Linked DNA regions of Daphnia pulex. The protein of the gene in region 1 interacts with the protein of each later gene in a pairwise test. Links are inferred from orthologs where the notes say so. Each region holds a gene or a part of one and is shown on either strand. Other genes may lie near its edges.

What was found.
Region 2: the proteins of AP-3 complex subunit delta-1-like (region 1) and vesicle-associated membrane protein 7-like interact in a two-hybrid assay, tested with the Homo sapiens proteins (2 studies listed by BioGRID and IntAct). The link is inferred for Daphnia pulex from reciprocal best matches to the Homo sapiens genes AP3D1 and VAMP7.

The regions. Positions count from the first base shown.
Region 1 is NC_060021.1:781,609-793,710, forward strand, and holds the end of AP-3 complex subunit delta-1-like, read left to right. Parts: intron 1-16; coding exon 17-90; intron 91-248; coding exon 249-348; intron 349-431; coding exon 432-626; intron 627-690; coding exon 691-839; intron 840-909; coding exon 910-1,155; intron 1,156-1,215; coding exon 1,216-1,378; intron 1,379-1,450; coding exon 1,451-1,668; intron 1,669-1,735; coding exon 1,736-2,217; intron 2,218-2,296; coding exon 2,297-2,450; intron 2,451-2,551; coding exon 2,552-3,062; intron 3,063-3,129; coding exon 3,130-3,402; intron 3,403-3,478; coding exon 3,479-3,646; intron 3,647-3,720; coding exon 3,721-3,846; intron 3,847-3,917; coding exon 3,918-4,007; 3' UTR 4,008-4,330; downstream 4,331-12,102. Other genes in the region: uncharacterized protein LOC124194089, read right to left, coding at 4,517-4,675, 4,736-4,846, 6,034-6,744; TM2 domain-containing protein CG10795-like, read right to left, coding at 9,876-10,030, 10,087-10,217, 10,310-10,391, 10,603-10,810. UniProt on the Homo sapiens protein: Part of the AP-3 complex, an adaptor-related complex which is not clathrin-associated. The complex is associated with the Golgi region as well as more peripheral structures.
Region 2 is NC_060018.1:6,532,154-6,544,205, reverse strand, and holds vesicle-associated membrane protein 7-like, read right to left. Parts: upstream 5,437-12,052; 5' UTR 5,350-5,436; intron 5,215-5,349; 5' UTR 5,145-5,214; intron 5,076-5,144; 5' UTR 5,069-5,075; coding exon 4,862-5,068; intron 4,797-4,861; coding exon 4,659-4,796; intron 4,597-4,658; coding exon 4,506-4,596; intron 4,419-4,505; coding exon 4,351-4,418; intron 4,281-4,350; coding exon 4,188-4,280; intron 4,039-4,187; coding exon 3,967-4,038; 3' UTR 3,821-3,966; downstream 1-3,820. Other genes in the region: tubulin--tyrosine ligase-like protein 12, read right to left, coding at 1-282, 404-555, 617-680, 750-940, 1,003-1,264, 1,364-1,424, 1,495-1,688, 1,758-1,888 and 2 more; ribosomal RNA-processing protein 8-like, read left to right, coding at 2,659-2,674, 2,756-3,185, 3,252-3,411, 3,473-3,549, 3,613-3,820; uncharacterized protein LOC124188813, read right to left, coding at 5,828-6,294, 6,360-6,452, 6,517-6,559; tumor protein p63-regulated gene 1-like protein, read left to right, coding at 8,415-8,625, 8,703-8,886, 9,108-9,284, 9,486-9,626, 9,720-9,847, 9,919-10,112; U4/U6 small nuclear ribonucleoprotein Prp4-like, read right to left, coding at 10,250-10,336, 10,400-10,456, 10,547-10,823, 10,884-11,282, 11,346-11,465, 11,525-11,883. UniProt on the Homo sapiens protein: Involved in the targeting and/or fusion of transport vesicles to their target membrane during transport of proteins from the early endosome to the lysosome. Required for heterotypic fusion of late endosomes with lysosomes and homotypic lysosomal fusion.

The DNA.
Region 1 (12,102 bases):
TTTTGTGTATTTACAGTTTGGAGCTTTAACACCCTTAGAGCCTCGCCTTGGCAAAAAGCTGATTGAACCTTTAACTAATTTGATTCACAGGTAACAACAAAAAATGTCAACACCTTCCTATTTGATTTGTGCAACACTAGCTTTGCGCTAGACTATCAATTTTGATCTGTCGCCATATTTGATTATTTGCTGCTTTCATTCATTTTTGCCAACATTATTTTTAATCGATATCGCATAATTTTTTCCAGCACTTCAGCGATGTCGCTGCTCTATGAATGTATCAACACTGTCATTGCGGTTCTAATTTCCATATCGACCGGCATGCCTAGTCACAGTGCATCTATTCAGGTACCACCAACCGATCCCTTATCGTTTCAACATATTCGATATTTTCAAAAGAAATCAACTCATTTTCCATTTTTTTAATTTAGCTGTGTGTTCAGAAGTTGCGTATTTTGATCGAAGACTCTGATCAGAATTTGAAATACCTTGGTCTACTAGCCATGTCCAAGATCTTGAAAACGCACCCGAAATCCGTTCAAGCGCACAAGGATTTGATCCTGCTTTGCCTTGATGATAAAGACGAATCGATACGGTTACGCGCTCTAGACCTTCTCTACGGAATGGTTCGCTTCACATTTTCTTTAAAAATAAACCAATTTTTAAATTGTTTCTTTTGGTTTTGTAAAGGTGTCAAAGAAGAACCTCATGGAAATTGTCAAGAAACTGATGGTGCACATGGATCGAGCAGAAGGAACGCAGTACCGTGACGAGCTTCTTTCTAAAATCATCGAAATTTGCTCTCAAGATAATTATCATTTCATTACCAATTTTGAATGGTATTCTAGAGTACTCGTAGTGAATGAATTGATTGAAAAACTCAACCGCTCCATCTCTTCCTTTTTTTAGGTACATAAGCGTTTTGGTGGATTTGAGTCGAATGGAAGGCCTCCGCCAGGGTCACGTTGTGGCTTCTCAGCTGATGGATGTAGCGATCCGCGTTCCTGCCATTCGTCCATTTTCTGTTGAACAAATGGCTCTCTTGTTGGAAACATCGAGTGGCTTTGCTATTCGTGGAATCACCGGACAAGTGGCCTTCTCTTCCATGTGCGAAGTGCTTTACGCAGCCGCCTGGATCTGTGGAGAATTCGCATCGTAAGGATTTTTTGTGTAACTCCGTTGGAAACAATTAAATAATATCTTTTATTTTTATAGGCATCTTAAAGAGCCCGAAGCAGTTTTAGAATGTATATTGAAAAGCAAAGTGACTGTACTCCCTGGTCACATTCAAGCTGTTTTCATCCACAATCTGATGAAGCTTTACGCTCACATTCTTCACAAAGCATCCACGGCGGATGAGAAAGAGAAAGCACAATTGGTACTAAATTTTGTTTATGGCTTCATCCAATTCAAATTCTATTTCAACATTTCCCTGTTTTTGTCTTGAAAGATGCTGTGTGTCCTTCAAGAGCGACTGACTCCGTTCATGCAAAGTGCCGATTTGGAGGTTCAGGAGCGCGCCAGCACCGCTGTCCACGTCCTCAAAGTGATTTCCAAATTGCAGGACGCTGGCGAAGGAGACGTTGTCAACGAATTGATGCAGCTCTTCCAAGGCGAGCTGAATCCAGTAGCGCCTAAAGCTCAGCGCAAAGTTCCATTACCTGAAGGGTAAGCCACAAATTTGAAAAAACCGTTTCGTTGAGAAACTTTTGGTTTACAATTTCTGCTCGTTTAGTTTGGATTTGGACGCCTGGATCAACGAACCGGAACCAGAGTCGGACGAAGAACCCAAAGCTGACGGAGGAGGGTCCCTTGATATTTTCTACAAGTCGAGCACATCCGCGCCCGACTTCCGCGACGGCTACCAAGGCGAAGGCGTTTACGACGAAGGTGACCAGGCCCAGTCAGACGACGTCCGCCAGCAGACGCTTCGGCAGCAGCAGGTGCGCCGCGAAGCCCTTCGCGTCGAGCAGGCCAGCAACCCGCATTATCTCAAGGGTTCCAGCCAAGCGCGACGGTCACCTTCGTCTTCCTCGCAATTATTATCTCCGACCGAAGAGATCCCCGTCATGTCCATCAACTTGTCCGTTCCACTTCAGGTCTCCACTAGTAGGAAACTCTCCGACAAATACTTGGAGCTCGAACGAAACAAGGAAGCGTCTTCCGATTCCAAGAAACATCGATCCAAGCGGGACAAGAAAAAGAAGAAAAAGAAGGGTAAATACCTGTTCAATTCAACAATATTTTTTATTGCAGTGTAATAACGTTTGATTGTTATCCTCTCTGGTTATAATAGGTTCCAGCGACGAGGAAGAGGCCGCCGCCGAGATTGTTGCTCCACAAGTGATATCTACCATGGAGTTGCCGGAAGGAGCGCGATTGTCGGACTCTGAAGACGATGGGCGACCACAGACGGACCCCCACCGCGCATTGAACATTGATTTAGAAGAGTATGTTTTTTTTATTATGGGCTTGGCTTTCATTTGGTTGTTATGTAATTTCACGCTCTACTTTTTGGGAATTTCTTTGCCATTTGCCATTTTTCCCACAGCCATTCTTATCCGAAAGAAAAACCGGTGGTGCGAGTAACCCTGGAACCGGCAGCTGCGCCACCAATCCCAGCCAAATCCAAGAAACCCAAGTCGAGAAACGGGGTAGAAGGTCTCAAGGAAGAGAAAGCCAAGAGAAAGAAAACGAAACAGGAGAAAGAGGAGAATGCACCGCCGCCGCTGCCACCGACGACTAAGGGCGTTAACCTCAATGACGATCTTGACTTTTGGTTGTCGGCCAGCAACGGCAACGACGCCAAGGAAAAGAAAGTCGTCGCGAAAGGTGAACTGACCATCGATGAAACTGCCACGGCGGCCGACTCCCAGAAGACGGCCAAGAAGACAAAAGACAAGAAGGAAAAGAAAGACAAGAAAGAGAAGAAAGCCAAAAAAGAAAAGAAGAAGAAGGACATCAAAGACTTTGATGACCAAAACAATCATCTGTCGGATAGTGTCATTGCTCCGGTCGCGATTGCGTGGAAATCCTTAGTAGATGACAAACGTCTCGTCATGGTAAAAATTCAACCATAGGTAACCCGAAATCGTTTATAGTTGTTCATTTCACTTTTGTTTGTTGCAGAAATATCGTGTTGTCGCTGTACCTCACGATCAGCACCAAGTATTAGTCCCGGTACAGCTCCACAATCGCAGTGGCAAACTGATTCATTCGATGATCTTTAATGTGGTCGACTCTACCAACGCCCGTCTATGCCGTGGGCAGCACGAGCAAGACGGGGTGGAATTGCCTCACCAGTTAGCCAGCCAAAGCCGAGTCGAAATTCCATTTGCTTTCGCTGTCGCCGACAGCACCATGCTGCACCAGCTCAGAGGTGTTTTGACCTACATGACTCAGGTATCAAGTCTACCAAATACTACTAATTTTCCCCCTCGGGTGATATTAATTGAATTCTTTTGCTATAAATGTGAAGGGAGAAAACGGATCTGTCTCGGAAAAGTTGGATTTCAAACTGCAAATTCCATGTAGCGTCTTCCTCTCTTCTGACCCCATCAGTGGCGATCAATTTGCCGAATTATTGGCTTCCCAGGAACTGATCGGCAAAGACAAGGCAGTGTGCGAAGGAATTGCTTTATCTCAGGTACAGCCATTTTTTAAAGATTGGTCTTTTAATCTATTATTAATTTTTAATACGTGAATTCTAAATGTCTATAGGCGATTGATCGTGTCAGTAGAGAGCTTAATATGCGTTTAGTCGAAATGGATAGTTCGGGAACATCCGCCTCGTTATACTGTCGCCACTCCACCGCTCATCATCTCTGCATTCTCATGAAATCACAGGTATTTGCAGCTAGAAAATGATTTAGGTGTGTTGCCAGATTTTTATTTAATAATCTATCAATTGTAATTAGGCGGATGGTCGGCTGAGCATTTACGGAAAGAGCAGTAACCCGTCGTTGGTATCGTCGGTCATGGAAGAAATGCGGCAAATGTTTGCTTAATACAAAACGTGTCGCTCCTGTCGATCCGGTTTGACGCATTAAACCTAAGATGATGTTTCAATGCAAAACCTGAAGGGAAGTTTATAACCGAAAAGCCGAAAAGAGAGAAAAAAAAAGAGCCTTTTTGAAGTTGTTAACCTATTCCAAGTTGAATTCTAATGTCAATCCAATCTTAACATGTTACTGTATTTTTCTAAGTGGATAAGGGTTGGGCGAGATGGTGAAGCGCAATTGGATCGGTGGTCATGAATCATCTTGTGCTCAGCTTCCGTAAACTTCAAAACAAACAACAGCGAAAGAGAAATATACAATTTGGTTGATTATCTTAATGTATAATTGGCGTCCTTTTGAGACTGTTTAATCTGAGATACAGAAAGGAAAGAAAGAAAAAAAACAAACAGTACAAAAGCGTATATAAATCCGATTACAAGCATGCATAGTAAAATCCAGTTTTACTACAATGGGTATACCTGCTAGAGAAAAACTAAATACCTGGGCGTAACAAACTTTTAGTAGCATAAGAAAATGAGAAATTCAGTATTAGATATGACTGTCGCATTGTGGACATCCACCGCCTCACAGATGTAAGACCCACAATCTTGGGGTTTCAATTGGCGGATGGTCAGGTAAGCCGAGTCGGAAACGACGGACACTCCATAACGGGGATCCTATCAAATGAAATTAATTAAAGTATAGAACAAATTAAATATTTCTAGATAATAATTTACCTTGTGGATCATTTGAGTTCCAAAAGCGATCGGTGTTTTAATTGTAGATTCCAGCAAATTGTTTTGCGTTTCGGCCACACTTCTGTGTTGCGTTTTGTACCATTGAAACTCCTGCATTGTAATAAAACAAATAATTATGACTAGACATTTTACGAAGAGGTAACTTTTTTAAAAGTTGACAATGTCTTTATAATAATCTAGGTTTAGTATTTCACGCTTTCTGATGCGGAAGGTCCTTTAGCTACCAACCATTAGAAAAACGAAATCGCCAAAAAGGTTTTTTCCATCTTTGAGACTGACATCACAAAAAATGTTAACTTTCTTGCACGTCGTCTAGACGAGCTTTCTTATTATGCAAGTAAGAAACTTCTAATTTGCAAGTTGTGAAAATACTAGCAGGTTTCAAGAATTAGGAGTCAAGATGTAGTAACAGCTAAGGAAATGCTTCGTCAATCTAAAAGAATAAGATGAACAGAAGTGCAATATAAAAAGATATTGTGTTGTTGCGTTCAACCATCCAGCACACGTTCTCCCTGGACATTTCTCTTTCGTTTTTAAAAAACAGAAGGAAAAAGTCGAACGAAACCATTGCCACTTATTATTTCGCCTCCGGTTTAAGGATAAACTAATGGCGTGTGTTTCACTAATTAAAATCTAAGAATGAAATCGTTTAAAGTTCCATTTGGGCCCCCATTTTTCACTCTTCCAAACTATCCAACAATTTATTATTTAAATGGAGTTTTTTCGTGGCGTTATTATATAACTTGAAGCACAGCATATACAGACGTGGGTAATGCAGCACCCCATTACATGCATCGCACGTTCTCCGCCTACAGCGCCAGCGCTGGAGAAAGTGTTGGAGAAAGTAAAAATCCCCCGGCTGTGTCTATCGCTGCCGCTTTTGGAGTTGCTGGCCGCTCTTCAAATACTATTCTTCAATTTAGGTGATGGCTTTTGGCTATATGCAGTCCATAGATAACCACATGTTTTTTTTTTCGCATTGCCAGCAATGTAAATATCCCTTTTCACGCATAAGCAAACAGCAATATCCATTTCCGTGCTGGGACATGCGTAGAAAGCCGCAGCACACTATCTACACAGCTGGTTCACTATATATTTCTCCTGACCAACACAACTTATTGCCACCCATAAAATGTTTCTTTTTGGACATGACGGAACTTTCCTCGAACAAGAAAATGTAGGCTAAAAATTAAGTTACGCTCTAACATATCCGCTCTTAAAGTAATTTAAGTAATAGCCAAATAATTCAATGCAATAATTGGAAAATTCAAATTTACCACTGGTTGCTGAAGTTGCTGCTGCTTTGGCCAAGAGCAGGTAATGGTCAAGTCGTGCAGCAGTTTAGGGCAAGATGAAGTTCTGGTTAGCAGCCGATAAGGTTTGGCCACCGATTTTTTGACAATTAAAGATGGAGACTGTTGCTGGCGACTCTGAATATTCACCGCCTGTTTGATGGGCTTCGAGTAAGGCCATGGCCAGCGATCCTGAGCAGGACTACCAGTGACCGAAGTACCGATGGGAGATTGATTAATCTCTGGGCTTTTGGCCTGTCTGACGATAGTGGTGTGATCGGGATTCAAATTAGGTGAATTGGCCCTTCTCCCTTCAGTTTGAGCCGCCGGTGGAATGAATTCGGAATGCGGAACCGGCGAAAAATTAGGGACGAAAAACTCATCCGCATCCAGGAAGCGAATTTTAGAGACGCCAACTGCTCCACTGTGAGGCGAAGAAGCCAAAGTCGGACTGGGATTGGCTGGCCGGAAACTGGCCACGACCGGCGATTGGATGGAATGCTGCTGGTCGTTGTCTTCCGATTGCGATCGGAAGAGAATATCTTTCAACGATCGGTACTGAACTAAATCCCTGCTCGTTTCCACCGGGAAAAAGACATTGGGCGCCACTGATTGGATCAACACTGATGCGATAAGAACAAACAGCAGCAGCAGCAGCTTAGAAAATACGGCGACGTAACACACGGAAGAGGACATGCTATTGACTTGCGCTGCACAACTCTTCTCAAGACGTTCTGACGAGAAAGCTGTTGCTTTACAAGTCCAGCAAAGCCTGCAGGATGACGGCGACAGCACACACACTCACAAACATTCAGCCCGGAGATGAAAGTCGCCTCTTAGCTCTTGTTGTTGTTGTACACCCTGTTGTCCGATGGAATCGAGTTGAAATGCTTACAAAAGGGAGGGGGCAGTGCTGCGGAGAAAGTTGACTTGGATGATATTGTATGTATTTTCACTTGTGTATTTCTTTATACAAGCCAAGGTACCTCCTTTTTCACAAGACAAAATAATCTGAAAAAAAAATTCCCGGAAAAAATTCGCGGTGAACGCAACAGTAAATCAAAGTCTGAAATCGAAAAGAAATTGGTTTCACGTTACCTTTTTTTTTTCGTTCGACCATTTAGGAGCTATAAAAGCAAACAATCGGGCTGTTATCAAAAGAAAATTCTTTAAACTCAAAAGAGAAAACTTTAATTCCATACAGCTAGTTTTTAGTGAGATTATTTACTTAATTGAATTAAAATAGAAATAACTAGCCAATTTTATTTTATGGGTGTTTAGAGAAACGTCATATCCACTAAGGATTAATTTTCCGGGAGCGGGAGTTTCAATTCTTGTCAATTTAGTTTGATACCACTTGGGCCACTGTGCACACAGAAAAGCTATATGGAGAATAAACTTACATACATGTTGTTTTGTCACTACAATATGTGAAACCAAATGAGCTTTGAGAAGAGAAACTTGTCGGTTGCGCTCGGCACATGACCAAGCAATCGACCGCATACTTTTTGTTAAAAAATACAACCCATATATTGATTGATGATATGATTGGATTTATATAGTACAGATATTATACGTTGGGTGAATTTGTCTATCGTTTCCCATAGAGAAAAGCTAATCTAGAAAATAACCAATAATACAGGTTGCTAGTAATGCCGAGTGATTTGAGTCCAAAGAGAAAGTAACTATATGGTAGTCATCATGTGGTAGTCACCATAGCAGTCGTCAACTACATATTGTTTACCAGTTTATTGATTATAAGAAATGCAAAAATGAATAATAGAAAATTTTTTAATGTCGAAATAATAAGAAAGATTTTCTGACATTAGCAAATAAAAATCTAAATTGCTACCTTTAGAAGATTAGAAGTAATGAAATCCGCAACGCTGAAGGAATAAATGAACGCGAAAACGGAAACCCTTTAGTGTTTTGCGTGAGTTTTGACTAGATTATACGTAAATTGATAACTTATTATAAATTACTATTTTTTCTAAACCTTTGGAACGGAGCAATCATCTATGTTAGTCCATAGCAGCATGATAGCAGGTCCTTAGTCGTTCAAGTCCCTGCTCCCTGGGCGGGCATCCCAGACGTTTTCCAATCCAGATTTAATTCTTATCCATTTATTTATATTTTCGTGATATGTGCTATTTACAAAATATGATACTGTTACAGGTTTATTAAATTTTTAATTGGTTAGAGTTTAGGTGCGCAACGAGAAGATTGCCCTAATGCCCTACTCCAGCAATGTCTTTGATATGAGGCTCAGAGGTGGCAGCACTTGCACGAGCAGACTGATGTTTACAAAATAAGTCACACCGACTCGGCATCGTCTGCAGCAAAAAAAAAAAAAAAAAAAAACTACTAAACTCTTTTGGCCAATTGTCATCCACTAAAGGTTTGTTAAATTAAAAACTAAGCTTATAGTCTTTGTTTGGCATTTGTCATCTCTTAACCAGCATTTAGCCATGTAACGGTTATTTCTTATAAAAAGGTTTTCACTAGGTTTTTATTCCTTTGCTGTTCTGCCTTATGGATCCTAATCAGCTTCAATCTTTTTGGCTTCCAATAATATTTGAAGCTGGAGCACAAATGGAAGAAATTGACAAACAACAGCAATGGCAGGTAAATTTGTGCAAACCATAATTATATTCTCATTCAAATGATTAATCATGCTGAAATTACAAAGATTGTAGCTGCCATGTTAGGATGCAGTTCTCATCTTGAATGGAACCTAAAATGATTGCATCACCTCCCTGGTCCAATCCATCTCTGCTCCCGCTGCATTGACCGATGTCTAAAACCGAATATGTGGAGCGCTGCATGAAGCAAACTTAATTTATTCACAACACTATAATGATGCTTTTTTTGCTGCTGAATGATGATTTTTTAATTATTAAAATTTCTTTAACATGACTACAGACTGCACAAAAACTGAGTGATCATCACTTATTCTTTTATTCCCTTATTCATTTACATTGCGTGTAAAACATTTTTATACAGTGTCTTGGAAATTTGCAACTTGCATCAGTCCTACGTTAAAATTTACCTACTAGGATTGTGACCCGGCTATATGTGCGTAGACCTGATTCAGCTGACGGCTTTGGGGATTTTTATGTGATACCAAAATTTATGTAGCTAGCAAATTTCGAAAAAAATAAATAAATTGTGTTGGCATCTCCGCTGAATATCTGACCACATTCAATGATGAGCTAAAGCTTCATCGGGCACGGCATGGGAGGAAATAAGGTTCTTTGAACGAGTTGCAGTCTTTTTCTTAACCTGGAATTCATCCCCTGGTTAAAGTAGTTTGTAACATCATACGGATGGCAGCTCTTAAATGTACCAGAAGGAAAAGTGCCCACTCTCTTCTACTGAGTATTAAATAATTCCATGGTAGTAATAGTCTATAACAAGCATTATATCATTTTTTCATTGTCACTGTTTCAGGAGTTTTTCGGGGTGTACACGAATTACTTGTTAGATCCAAGTTGGTATTTCGCCTGAAGGAGGGATTAGCCTACTATATGCAGTTGTCTGTGCTTTTTGGCGACGCATCAGAGATGTTCGACAGTTCGAGTATTCCGCTTCATTTGTCGGTTAAGTAATATTTGCGTATTCAACATTTGTACGTTATCCAATAGTGTTTTACGTACATCATCAGGGTACTATTAAGTCAGAAAACATAACTTGAGCTATAATTTTGTTAAAATTGAAAATTAAGTTTATACATATCACAGAAAATCTAATTATTTCAAATCTAAATTTTTTGTTTGAAACAGGAAAAGTAAAAAAAAAAAAAATGTATGAATTAAAAATTCACAATCTCAAAGTTCTGGCCAATCAAACTGAGGCATTCGGTAAGTATCATTATCAAGTTCTAGACGTGAAAGCCTGGGTCCAAAGTAGTTAATTATATAATGAGATCCATCAGCAGGTCCAACAGTTTGAGTAGCAATCAATATGATGTCCACAATTTGACCTATTTTTAGGTTAATGTTATTCAAATGTTTATTAAATGTTGTATAAAAATATTACCTAGAAACATGCAACCCAATGTGCACAGTTTAAAAAGACCTATTGCTGGGTACCCCAGGTAGAATCGATCAGCACCAAACATTCCAAGAAACACTGAGAGTAGCAACGATGTCTCAAATGAGTATCCATTTCTGAAATATATAAATAATCAATACTGGTAAAATAGATTGCAACATAACATTTGCATAGGTGTGCAACTAAAGGTAAATTTGAAATTTCATACGTCCATAAACATGGAATTTCTTTTGGAAAAGTGTTGTTTCCACTCTCCACACATTGGATCCCATCTGCTGCCATGCATATAGCTGTGAACAACAATACAGATTAGTGTAAATTTATTGTTACAATTCAGTCTTTATAGATATATTTCAATAGACTTCATTCAACAGAAGAAACAAACAAGTTTCTTCATTGTATACAAAATAACAGGCCCCTCTGAGTAAATTACAGGCTCTATTCTAGTGTTGTATGATGTCAACAAATAATTATGTTTTATTAGGTGGTAAAATCATATACTGTGAGCCAAGTTGTTTTTGCTACATCCTTTAGGCTGTTGAGTTGACGGATCGATTTCGGGACTGCAGAAATACTGCTCCAGTTGCAAAGACGAACAATTGGTTTCAAAGGTACTGGTTGAAAATGTACGAACTTCACTTTCAACACCTTGTAATGTTCTTAGAAACACAAAAAACACGATTAATGAAGAAACACGAGAAATCGGCATGATTTGAAAAGAGCACTTTTGATCATAATAAACGATAATAATTTCATGGTCTGACAGGCGATATATTATCAGATAATAATCGATTTCGTACATAACGGATACCGATTGATACTACCACGCCATCTAGCAGTTTAACGAACAACTATGCACCTGAGTCCAGCCCAAGGGGGGAAATCAAAAAGACCCTTTGAAAAAAGGAGGCAGACCGCAGAGCCGCTGAGCTGAAGGCGTCAAATGAACTGGCAGTCATCGGAGTAGTGATGGCAACCTAGTTTTTTTTGAAAACTAGGTATTACTATTACTAAATACCTAGTATTTGAGAAAAAGTAGGTATTACTAGGTAGTAATACCTAGTAACAAAATAAATTAAACTAGGTATCGGAAAAAAAAACTAGGTTTTTACTATTACTAGGTATAAACTAGGTAACTAGGTAAAGTAACTAACTAGGTAAAAATACCTAGTTACCTAGTTACCTAGTTTGGATATTTCTCTGTTTATACTTCGAAATTACATAAACAACACAAATACAAAACTTGCAACTGAATTTTTTTCTTTTTATTGCAATTTCTGTCCCGCTAAGATCAATGATAGGATAGAAAGGACTAACGACTAAGCGATAAGAACGGAAATTGAAAATTAGAGACTGAGAATTCAGATTCAGAAGTCAAAGTTTTTGTTGAATCGGCAAAGTGTTTGCGATTCTACCAAGACAGGGGAGACATTTATTTTCTTGCCTTTGCAAGAAAGACCACTACACGAAAAAAGACGCTCTGCAGAGGCAGAAGTAGCTGGCATGGCGAGATACTGCACGTAATCCCCGATTTTCAGACATTTTAGGGCGGGGCCTGTCAGAATTGTGAAGTGAAACAGAGCCATCTAGGCTCTCAAAAGTAGCTGAGCGTAGTAGCTGACACACTCACTAGAGCGCTCATTCCAGTTTCCAAATCGGACCACGTTCACCCTGAAACCGGGATTGGGAAGCCAACACAGCCGTGAACCGACCAGGCATCTATAGCTATGCAGAAACCAAAGAAGCCTAGTAAAATGAAATAAAAGCAGAGTTGCCATTTATTTGACAATGCTGCAAAAAAATGGAAAATACCTAGGTAATTACCTAGGTAATCATTTTTCAAAAACTAGGTATTACTATTACTAGGTATACCTAGTAATAGATTTTTTCCCGAAAACTAGGTAAAAGTAGCTGAAAAAAAACTAGGTATTACTAGGTAACTAGGTAATACTAGGTATTACTACCGAGTAATGCCACCACTACATCGGAGTATGTTATGTG
Region 2 (12,052 bases), on another chromosome or scaffold:
TCCAGTTCGAAAGGCTTGTTGGCGAAGCGAATCCAGAATCGCTGATAGACAAAGGCTTTCAAAGGTTCGGTTGAACTGAGAAGAATTATGTAGCGCAGGTCGAACTTGACTTTGGCGTTAACATCTTCTCTATAAAAAAGTACCGGCCTCTCTATATACCGCTGACAAATTTTGGGTCCACTGACGGCTAAACGTAATATCATATCGAGATTGTCAGTGATGTGAGTGTCCATGCTACGCGCTAAATTCCATGGTTTAATGATCCAATAATTCGGTGTTCCCCTGCCAAGAGAAAAAAGAAAACCTACAATACAACGAAATAAATGGATCGCAACAACTCATAACAAAACAAAAAACCCAAACAATAAAATCGATAAATATAAAATGGGATAAATCATCTTACAATTTTTCTTGCGCGAGAAAGTAAGCCACTAGTTTAGGAAGCTCTGTTTTCAAATTAAATGTCGTTGGAAGCCAAGATGGTTCGTTTTCCAAAATTTCTCTTTTGGAACTAATACTGGACCTTCGAGCAATAACGCAAAGTAGATCCTTAACCTGATTTTTTTTTTAAATAACATTATTAGTTGGAAGAAAATCAGAATCACAGAAAACATACAGTCAGCAGATGTTCACAGGGAAATTGATTAATCCGTTTAAACGGAAAGTTTTCGCTTAGCTGCCTAAAAGAGTCAAGAAAAGGGAGTTTTTGAGGTAATTATTAGTTCTAATTTCTAAACGTTTTCAATTACTTGAAATCCTTGAAATGTGATGAGAGCCAAAGAATTTCTGCTTCATCAGAATTATCTACCAATTGAAATCTAGGGTGTTTCAGATAGTCGCGAATGAACACATATTCAACGTAAGTGCGGATAGGTCGATCACTCGGTAGGCCAGGTATTTCAATATCGGCATTCGGAAGCGTTTCGGTCATTCGACTAGCCTTTAAAAACCTAATATTATTAATTTTTAACGATCAACAGAATTATTCGATGTTAAGCTTACGGAGAAGTAGTCCGGTGAAGGCTCGACTTGTTCTAGATCAACGGAAGCAAGGAATTCTTGAGAAAATTCCTCGGACCACGGATGTAATAATGCTGACCGACTAATTTCATCAGCTCCTGAACCTTCAACGAAATCACGGGTAACTTCGTCGTTTTCATCAAGATCACTCAAAGGGAACATGATCGAATAGGTAGCTTGTTCGGACATAAAGAAAAATGGAACAAGACGAACGGTCGGATGATCAGAATGTTGAATCCGTGATCTAATATTTTAGAATAAACAAAGTATTAATATTATTCAGCATACAACTCTGAAATACAAAAAAGAACTACTGCAAAGATCAAAGTAGAAAGTAACATACCCAAATTCATCCAAAATGTACCAGATGGGGAGACGCTCCTCGGCTTCAAGATTTTGGTTACCTTATATTAAATTTAAATTTAAATTTTGAGAATAGTAAAAAAACAAACAAAGCAATAGCATATTAACTACCAATGCTATATGTTTGACTGTACTTCCACATGCTGGCCATAACCTTCTTAACAATTACTTCAATATTATCACTCTCAGCAGAATAAGCAACATCCATGAGGTTACACATCCTAGCAAGGAGGCCTGTGATGTTAAGCAAGTGGCTCCTAACTTGATCTGGTCGAAATGTCCAAGCATGGTCAACAAGATAGATACTAACAAAATAAAATTACATTAAAATTCTGTTATATACATGATACAGACATTTACACGAAGAACATTACTGCTTTGGATCTGCTGCAACAACACCTCCTGAACATGTAACTAGAACTTTCCATTTGTTGAAAGCATTACTCACAACGTTATCATCTTCATCAATTTGTGCTAAGCTAAAGCACTCCCCAGCATCAAAAATCTAAAAATTAAAAAGGAATTGAATTAATTATCATAACCAAATTTGTGTAAATTCTTCAGGAAGTTGTCAGAAACTTACGCTATTCTTTAGCTTCCAATACAAGGTCTCCCAATAAATTTCAGGAACACCAGAGGACTTTAACCTTAAGACACTTGTATGTGATACATGAACATAAATAATAATAGTAATGATTTTACTGTGCTTGATGGAGAGCTATAAAACTTTTCAGTCCTTCCAAGCCATCTGCAAGTTCCAAAGAGGACATTTCCCTTCAAAGTTTAAATTCAATTAAAAACACATTTATTAGTAAGGATATTTTCGATAGCCATGTCATATACCTTTAATGATTAACCACTTTACGTATTTCAGATAATACGAAACACTTTTCAGTTGATTCGCAATTTCGCATATGTCAAAAACAACTTGAATTATTTCTTTCCACGTTGAGAAAGCAGACTGTCGATCGTCTGCTAGGCAGACACCGTTGTCACTTAATGCGTCGAGCAAAAATAAAAAATGCAATTCCAATCCAAAATTCCAACTCCAACAAACCCTAAAAAAGAAAAAAGAAAACTATCTCTCGATAGAATTATATTTATTTTGTCATTTTGTTTTCAAAATTGAAAAAAAAAAACAGAAAAATTTATTGTAAAAGAAATATGACGCACGCGCATATTTTGTAACACCTGCACATGGTTTGTGTCTTGTCTGTTTTGGTCTGGTCGTGGTTTTCAAGTTTTATACATTTCCCAATTCGCATAATTTAAAAAATGGAAAGCAAGACAGGTATCCTTAAATGATTATTATTTTATCCTGACACAAAAATTGTATCAATTTTCTTCTTCCCATTACTTCTAAAATTTTCAGCGTCGATTTCGGGATCAAAAAAGATTTCACTAAAACCCAAAAATGTGAGATCTTCAGCTTATGTTAAACGATTAAAGGTTGCACTAACCAAACAGAAGGTAAATTCTAATTCTGCTCACCAAAGAACACCACTTTCAGCTCCTCAAAGAAAAACTAAAGAGAGAGCATCGATTGCTAGTGATGCAAGACAAAGATTGGAATCTGCACGGTTCAGGTATTTTTTGTTGTTGTTGACAATATTCCAGCCTATCATAACATTTAATTTCAGGTATCTGAATGAAGAGCTGTATACCAAAAGTAGTAGTGAAGCATGGGAACTTTTCCAAGAAGACCCCCAATCATTTGATATATACCACAAGGGGTTTAAGAACCAGGTTTTGAAATGGCCAGTCAACCCATTGGATATCATCATCACTGATCTTATGAAAGGGTAAAATAAAACAAGCCATGTGCTAAAAAATTGCTTTAATTTAACAAATGAAAATTTTTTTTTTAGTCCTAGAAACTGGGTGATAGCTGATTTTGGTTGTGGTGAAGCTCAGATAGCAAACACCATTCCTAATAAAGTTCACTCTTTTGACCTTGTAGCAGCAAATGACAAAGTTACTGCTTGTGACATGGCTTCTGTTCCTTTGGCAACCAAAGCTGTTGATGTGGTATTTCAGCATTATTTATGCATTATAAATTTTGATCAAACAACAGATATTGCTTGTTCAGGTGGTCTTCTGCTTATCTCTCATGGGTTCCAACATACATGACTTTTTAAAGGAAGCTAATAGAGTCCTTAAAATTGGGTAAATGCTACATACAGATTTTAAAAAATAATAATCTTTATTGATGTAATTTTTAAATTACAGTGGTACTTTGTGTGTAGCTGAAGTTGAAAGCAGATGTAGCAATATTAATGATTTCTTGAAAACAATTGAACGTTTTGGATTCCAACTCAAAGAAAATAACGTTCAAAAATACTTTTTTCTCGCAAAGTTTAGCAAGATTCAAAACATGAGTCCCAAAGCAACTATGCCAAGAATATATTTGAAACCTTGTCTGTACAAAAAACGATGAATAGAAAAGTACACATAAATGTTGAACATCATAACAAAGAAACCGACTCATTATATGTTACGAATGTACAGAAACGTATTTGGTTGAAATAGAATGTTTGTTTTAAAAACTGAAAGAAAAATTAGATCACGCGCAGAATTTGTGCATCAACTATTTTGAATGCATGAATGCCAATTCAATCCTCCACATGCTATGCTAACGACAAAATACACAATAACCTACGGAAAAATAGATATTTTCAATTAGATTTCATTTAAAATATTATTCCGAATTTTAGAATGTAGTTCAGGTCGATAAATGGTAAAAAAAAAAAAATTACGAATGAAATAAAGATAGTTATTTAAACTGTAAAACAATTATAACATACCAAAATCACGGCAGCAGTAATTGCTGTTATTTTTATGTTTTTCCAGAACAAGGAATTAGCCAAATTTCGACTTGATTTCCGGAAAGTAACAGCCTAAAAACAATTTAAAATAACTTACTTGGTAAACCAAAGTAAAATTTAAAAATATCTAAAATATACATACTGACGCGCTGAGGCTTTCGGTTTTATTAACCAGTAATTCTAATCTTTCGCCACGTGCCGCTAAGGAATCTAATAATGAGCAAAATTAAATTAAATGGTATTATGTTACTACTGCTGGAGGTTGCAAATTCTTGCTGGCTCGTATTTACACTTTACCTATATTTTTCACCATTACATCTTTCAAGTCGTCCAATTCTCCTTGAACTTGAGAAACGGTATCGATATCTCGAGATTCAGAAAAGTGTTTCTGGTTTTAAAAAAAAAATCTCAGTAATGTCTGAAATAATTGAGAAGAATTTCACGACTTACCATTAGCCCTGCCAAAATTTTCGAAAACTCCGTGTTCATAGCATATGGTAGAGCAGAGTATGCATGGGCTCCAAAAGTATTTACAAATTTCTTTTTAACTTCATTCAAAAATAAAAATGCTCTTGAACGTTCAAATTCCTAAAATAAAGGTTTCTATTTATATATCATCTTCTACAATTGCAGACAATAAAAAAAAGATTTACATCATCTGAGATGCAAAGATAAATTATTCTGTCTTGCAAAATATAGTGGAACAAAAATGATCCATGAGAGTAGGTCATTTTTGAATCATCAAGTCCAATTTGAGCTAGAACTTGCTCTGTGATCTCAGAAAAGTTTCCAGTACAATTATTGGCAAATCTAGCCAAAACAGTGTTTCCTCTACTAACAACACTATATAACAGCGGCATTTTCCTTCTAAAAAATTAACATATGAGATTATGTAATAAAGACTAAATATTTTTTATGGGTCAACTAATCTCATACCAACAAAACTTTCTCGACGATTCAGACGATCTTCAATCCCATCAATAACTTGACGAACGTGTATAAAAAACTGCAGAGAAACTCACGATGGATTACAGAACTTATGAAGGAGCAGATATTATGACACTCAAAAGACGTTGCTATAGTTTTGGATAGTTGTAGGACGAATATAATTAATTTTTGTAAGTATTAAGGATTAAACAACCTATCTTAAATTATCAAATGACAATCCACTCCAGTCAATGACTCAATGTTGACTATTGTCGGAACCACGTTATAGAGTCTATGGTTTGCTCACTCACTAGAGCAGAGCAATAGATACCTGGTCGGTTCTCGGCCGTGTTGGCTTCCCTATCCCGGTTTCAGGGTAAACGTGGTCCGATTTGGAAAAATTGATGAGCGCCTCTAGTGAGTGTGTCAGGTACTACGTGAAGCCAGCCAATCAGGAAGGGTCTATGAAAAACTCATTGACCAATCACAGCTTACTTTTCTACAAGAAGTGAACAAAATAAAAAGGTAGAAGTATCCAACTGTCAAACCTCTAGGTCTTTTCTAAGTGTCCCAACATTCTTACATTTTATTGTTTGGTTGTGTAAATTGTTTATTCTTTGTAAGTGTCCAAACATTCTTACATTTTATTGTTTGGTTGTGTAAATTGTTTATTGTTCCGTTGACATAATACACTACTTCTTGTTTTGAAAATGTACACTTTTCACATTATAATTTTCATTTGGTAGTCGATCCATCGAAATGCAAAAAATCGTTTGTTTAATTTGATCAAAATACCATGTCCAATTCTTTGGTACCATTGATGAAGTTACTAGTGACTGAAATGTCACAAAATTAGACTTGAAATTAGTAGAGCTTGCTTCCATAGAAGGTGATGTAACTGTCGAATCATCAATGACAACAGCAACATTTTCGTTCATTACATCAGGAAGTGGATCAAAAATTGCTTCTTCAGCAGCCTGGTGAGTGTCCATTGATTCTTGAATAGTAGAGGTAGCTTCCATAGAAGGTGATGCAACTGTCGTATCTTCCATGACAACAGCAAGATTTTCCTTGATTGAATCTGGAAGTGGATCAAAAATTGCTTCTTCAGCAGCCTGGGGAATGTTGATTGATTCTTTAATAATTTCCATGGAGGGTGCTATCAGATAAAATTTAAAGCAATTGCTCTTATAAATAAAATGTAACGAGAACTATTATCAATACCTGTACTGTCAAATTTTTTTCTCTTAGACGTAGTAGGTATTTTGTCTACTTTTGGTCGTTTCCTTACTGATGCATTGCTAGCATTTGTTTCCACTACAATACATATTTAAGAATTGCGTTATTTGATATTAAACAAAATAAACATATTTAAAAATACCATTAAGGTTATTTCTCCATTTGAAACCATCAACATTTTGCATTGCTTGTCGACTAGGTGTATCTAAAATGAAAATGGTTCAGTTTCTGTGCTTTACAGATTATACAGGAAATGTAATATCAATACCATTTATCAGAAAATGTTTGGGAATTGCTCCAGCATTACGATTCCTACGTTTGAAAGGATGGAACACGTTCAAAATTTAAATCCCTGATTTGAAGTCACTTTCGTCAAAATGACGGGAGCAAATACGTGAGGTGCTCGTCAAATAACTACATGGAATTAGTTCTCGCCATTTAGATAATGAAGTTTTAGGAATTGCAAACAGGGTAACCTCGTTTTCTTTTTGATTTCCTTTGAAATATGTTGATTTACAACCAGGAACAGCACACCTGCCAACCATTTTTACAGAAATTATGGTTAGGCTTCATTCACGTAATACACGATAATGGCCGCCGTATTCACATATTACACAAAAATGGCCGCCGAAAGTATTATTTGAAAGTCAACGTCTTATCACTAGATGGCGCTGTTTCATTTTTACCACTTCACAACTTCTGACAAGCTCCGCCCTAAAATGTCTGAAAATCGGGGATACGTTTACCCTAAAACCGGGATAGGGAAGCCAACACGGCCGAGAACCGACCAGGTATCTATTGCTCTGACTAGAGTCACTACAGAAAACCCAAAGAGCTCGGCAGTCGGCACCCCAGCGGCCAAACCATAGCAACTTTCAAACAGCGCCTCTCCTCTAAAGTTTTCTCTACTCTAGTCTACTCTATTAAAACTTTATTGAACTTGCTTTTCAAAACCTTTGGGCCTTCTAGAATTATGGAAAAGATGGAGGGAAAAATATATATTTTTAAACTGATAATTAATCCTAGCACACGTTGCTTATTGGCTTTAATACCGGCTTACCCTGTTCCACTTAATCCTAACCCGCCTAACCTATGAGCCCTCCTCCCCAAAAAATCCCAATATTTTGGCTCCTCCCATAAATTTACAAATTTTAAATCTCTCATAACGGAGGCCAAGATATTTGAAAAAATATTGGCATACAATAATAAACAACACTATTAACTTAAGTACCGGAAAGTTTTTAGCTACACCTTTCAATATTAGAGTAAAGGGAAATGGGGGCTTAAAATGTCCCGCTTAATCCCACCCTCCCCTACTGAGTTGAAATGAAAGAATATTGGAATCCTGCCGAAAATTATAACTTAAGAAAAGTATTGATCGTCTAAAACTTTTTTTTTTTTCGATGTTTGCATTGCGCAAGTCGATGCGCATGGCTGATAGCCAAGATGTTTGTAACATTGCGCGATCCCACTGATACATTTACTGAGTGAAGGTCTAACTTTCGAGTGTCTTGAGCCAACTTATCAGCTCCTCTTAATTAACCGAATCGTATTTGGTAAGATCTGGATTTTCTCAATTTTATCAAAACAATTCATGTGCAATAAATTCAAATTCAATGGAAAAATCAAGAAAAAAAATCAAGAAGAACGAGAGGTCATAGATACGAGGAACAGGAAGCTCTTATTAATTGGAAAATATTGAGTGTCGACTTCTTAAATTAAAAATTGGTTCCAATACTTCGAGAGGCTCACCGCTCAAATTTGCGTAATTTTTGTGTAATTTGTTTAGTTTGCTCAAATTACGGGCGTGCGTCTAGATAGACTTAAAATTTGAGTTTTTTTGGCAAGGTGTACGAAGATTTTTTTTTTTTTTGTGGTGAAACCCCTCGAAAGTCTTCACTTTTATTTACTTAAGGCAAATAAAAACCTACAGCAGATTGCCGAAAATTTTTGTACATAACAGATAACACTAACATTCGGATATCTCTTCCACTTCCAAAATTAAAACATCAAATTTTTCGATTGTTTGTTCAGAAAATCATGCTTAGTGAAGCAGAAACTACACCAACCTTGGATGAGCCAAATCTACCGGAATTTTGCGGAGCAACGTTATCTTTAAACAATGCTTCAGGCACTATTTCAAACCAAAAAATCGTAAAGCAAAACCTTTTTTCAAACAACGAAGCAGATCAAATGAAAGAAAGAAAGAAAATAGCTGAACTCCAACCCTGCGGTCCTTCATCAAACTGCGGTACAATTCTATAAGCTTTTTTAAAAATATTATGATGGGCTGACTTCTGACAAAGCTATTGTTTTACTATACCGTAGAAAATGTTCCTTTATCTCCAACTGTTCTCAGCGCTGAAGCTCGTGGTGGTGACGGTCAAATCATCTCACAAGGCTACTTCAGTTCAAGAAATTACATGTTCGCGATCGAAAATTGCAAGAGAATCTTGACTCGAGGAGAACCTGAGAACCATGGGGTTTTCGTAGGAAGTTGGTTGCTAACTATGTAAGACTTTTAACTAAATGTTGTCAAGTATTTTCACTAGCGCTCAAAAATAATTGCAATATTCCAGTACGCGACGAAACACACACGACATTGATTTTGTTTCTTTTTTCGTACCGTAGCTTATTTGAAAAAACCGCGCTTCTTTCGTTTTGAAAAAAAACTTCACTTTCTGATCTGTTTTGTTTCATCTTTTGATGTTTGTTTTCTATTGAGGACTAAAGGGTCGATCACTGGGACAACGAAAAAGAACGACTGATTTTGCTTTATTCTCGAACCTTGTTCATTGTAAAATACGACTTCATCACCACGACTCTTCAAAGCTTCGAGACCTATGCACTCCAGAAAATTATTCACCTTACTATTGGGAATATTGAATACCCAACACACTCAATCACACCGTAAGTTTTTTCCGTTCAAATTTTTTTTTTCTTCAGATTGATGGGCATTGGTTACCAATCAACTGAAATTTGTCACAATCATGTGGATTGCAAGTAAATGTTTCTCTGTGTAAAAATGAGATAAGATTTTAGTGTCTACTTATATCGGATGATTGAAAATTAATTTAGCTTTTGTCGTATTTTTATATGAATATACTTTAGGAAATTCCAATACCTCGCAGATTCTATAACAGGACGATTCTCGTCTATTCTACGAGGTAACTTTAATAGTCAATCGGCATCGGAGCTATTACATAAACGTTCAACAGGTGAAGAAACTCAAACTGACTTCACTTCCGACAGGTAACATAACTAAATCAGACATGACACATTGATACGTTATAATGTAGAAATGTCGAACAAAAGTTTTCAAGAAAGTTCTTGCTTTGGAATTAGATTGAAAAGAAACGGCGTCCGAATTTTGTTTGGGTCCGTGCCGGCAGAACCCAATTTTACCCAGTTATGGAATCCATGGAGCAAGGCAATTCCCTGGTTAACGTTTTTATCGCATCCACTACTTTCAAGTAAAAAGATTGCAATTCTGTTAATCATTATTCGATGGATGTTAACTCTTATTTTTACCTATGAATTTTAGCTGAACACACGACTCCTGCTATATTCGACGTTAAAGATTTTACAGTCAACCTACAGCGAACTTTGCAAAACGAGTACCAGGGTTTAGTTGAATACAAGCCAATTATAATGAATTCGTATTTAGGGCTTCCAGCATTAGTACACAACTACAGTCAATTCGGATTTTACAAAGTACGAGGGAAAGTAAGTTTTTAATACTCCACCCAATCTTCCCAACCAATAGGCTTCAACTTTTTTGTATTTAATTTATTAATGTTTTCGAAGTCCAATACACAAATAAAGAAATCAAACAAGCATGGTCGTCTTCGAAGCTGCACTCTATACTTCTACATTTATTCAGGGGACCAAAGCTTGTAAGTGCGATCGTACGAGGCTGTGGCGATGAACGACCCGTCAGGCGATACATCAACTGCCATAACCTGTAACAATAAAATAAAAAAATTGAGAAACACATCACAAACGTATCTGATTAAAAAATTTACTTTTCCGTCATGTCCCGAAAGGGTTTTCAATGGTTGCCAAGTGTTACTCGCCCATATCTAGGGCAGAAAATTATTTCAAATATATATAGATGACAAATGTAACATTTAAAGAATGCAGAAAGAAAATCTATTAATGATTATTCATACCTTTGCGGTACAGTCATATGAAGATGAGACAATATACTGTCCGGAACTTCTTTCGAATTTCACGCTCGACACTAAATTTGTGTGTGCAGGAATAGTATAGATACAGGATCTCTTACGTAAATCCCATATTTTACAGGTATTGTCTTCACTTCCAGTTACTATGTGGTAGCCATTAGGTGATATATCGATGCCCAAGACACCTTTTAAATGACCTTCCATAAACATGATGCAGCGCCCAGTTCTGAGGTCCCATACTCGACCAAAAGAGTCCATGCCACTAGAAAAAATTCCACATGTAATTAAAATATTATGTTAACATATTTTTAGGTGTTGGTACCCTGTGATAGCCACTGAACCATCAACATTGAATGCTATGTTGTATACAGGTTTGGAATGCCCTTCTTGATGAAGAACTTCTACACCCTGTTCTAGATCCCATAGCCTCCAGGAATTATCAAAAACACATGTAGCTAAAAATCTTCCAGAAGGATGAAATTCAACTTTTGACACTCGATGCGGAGCATGTCCTTCCATATCAGCAATCGGCTCTTCACTTTCTAAATTCCACAATTTGACTGCGCCGTCCATGGAACATGAAGCCATATTTAATTCTGAAGGTTCTAAGCTCAAGGTGGCTTGTGGATGGAAGACTATTGCTCCAACACTACACTTGTGGCCTCTCAATGAATGAGACAAAGTGCAGTCAGGTACATTCCACAATTTACACAGGCCACTCCTAAAACATGAATTGTTTTTTATTATCTGATTAACTCTCTTACAATCTCAGAATATTTAATACCAGGAGGCAGTGGCCAACAAATTTCCACTTGGGCTGAATTGGCAATATGATATTGGTCTTCCATCACCAACTTGGCTGCACATGATGTTCATACCTCTCATCCGTTTCACCATTTCCTGCCTGGAAAAGAAAAAATATATTAATTGGGATGTGCTTTCATAACAGAGCATATTTCAGACCTTTTGGCTGTTCTTGTTGATTCTGGTATTTCAGATTCAAGTTTCACATTAGATAACCTTTGTTTTGCTCTGGGGAGGGAATAATATGCTAACCACAAACGAGCAATTTTGAGTGATTCAGGACCTTCATGATACCAAGTGGTTTCAGTTTGATCTTTCTCAACCTTCACAATTTCTTTTTCATCTTCTTTTTTTCTATCGATCAAATCATGTCCATGAACCGAGAGTAACTCTTTTAATCTATTTCGGCGATCAGCAGGTCCTTCACCAAAAAGGGTTATTGGTTCACCTAATTGCCTAAGATGTTTCCGAATTTCCCCATCGTCAATTGTGATAGCGAAACCGGTTGTGGACGACATGTTTAAAGAAATGTGTTTTCTAATTGAACTTTTCCTGTTTTGATCTCAATGTTTAAATATTATAGACACCGACACCTCGTTTTGTCACGTTTTTGTTGTCAATACGATCGTTCTTAAATCTTAAATAGACTTTTACAAGCCAGACGACTCCCAAACGAAAAGCGACTTA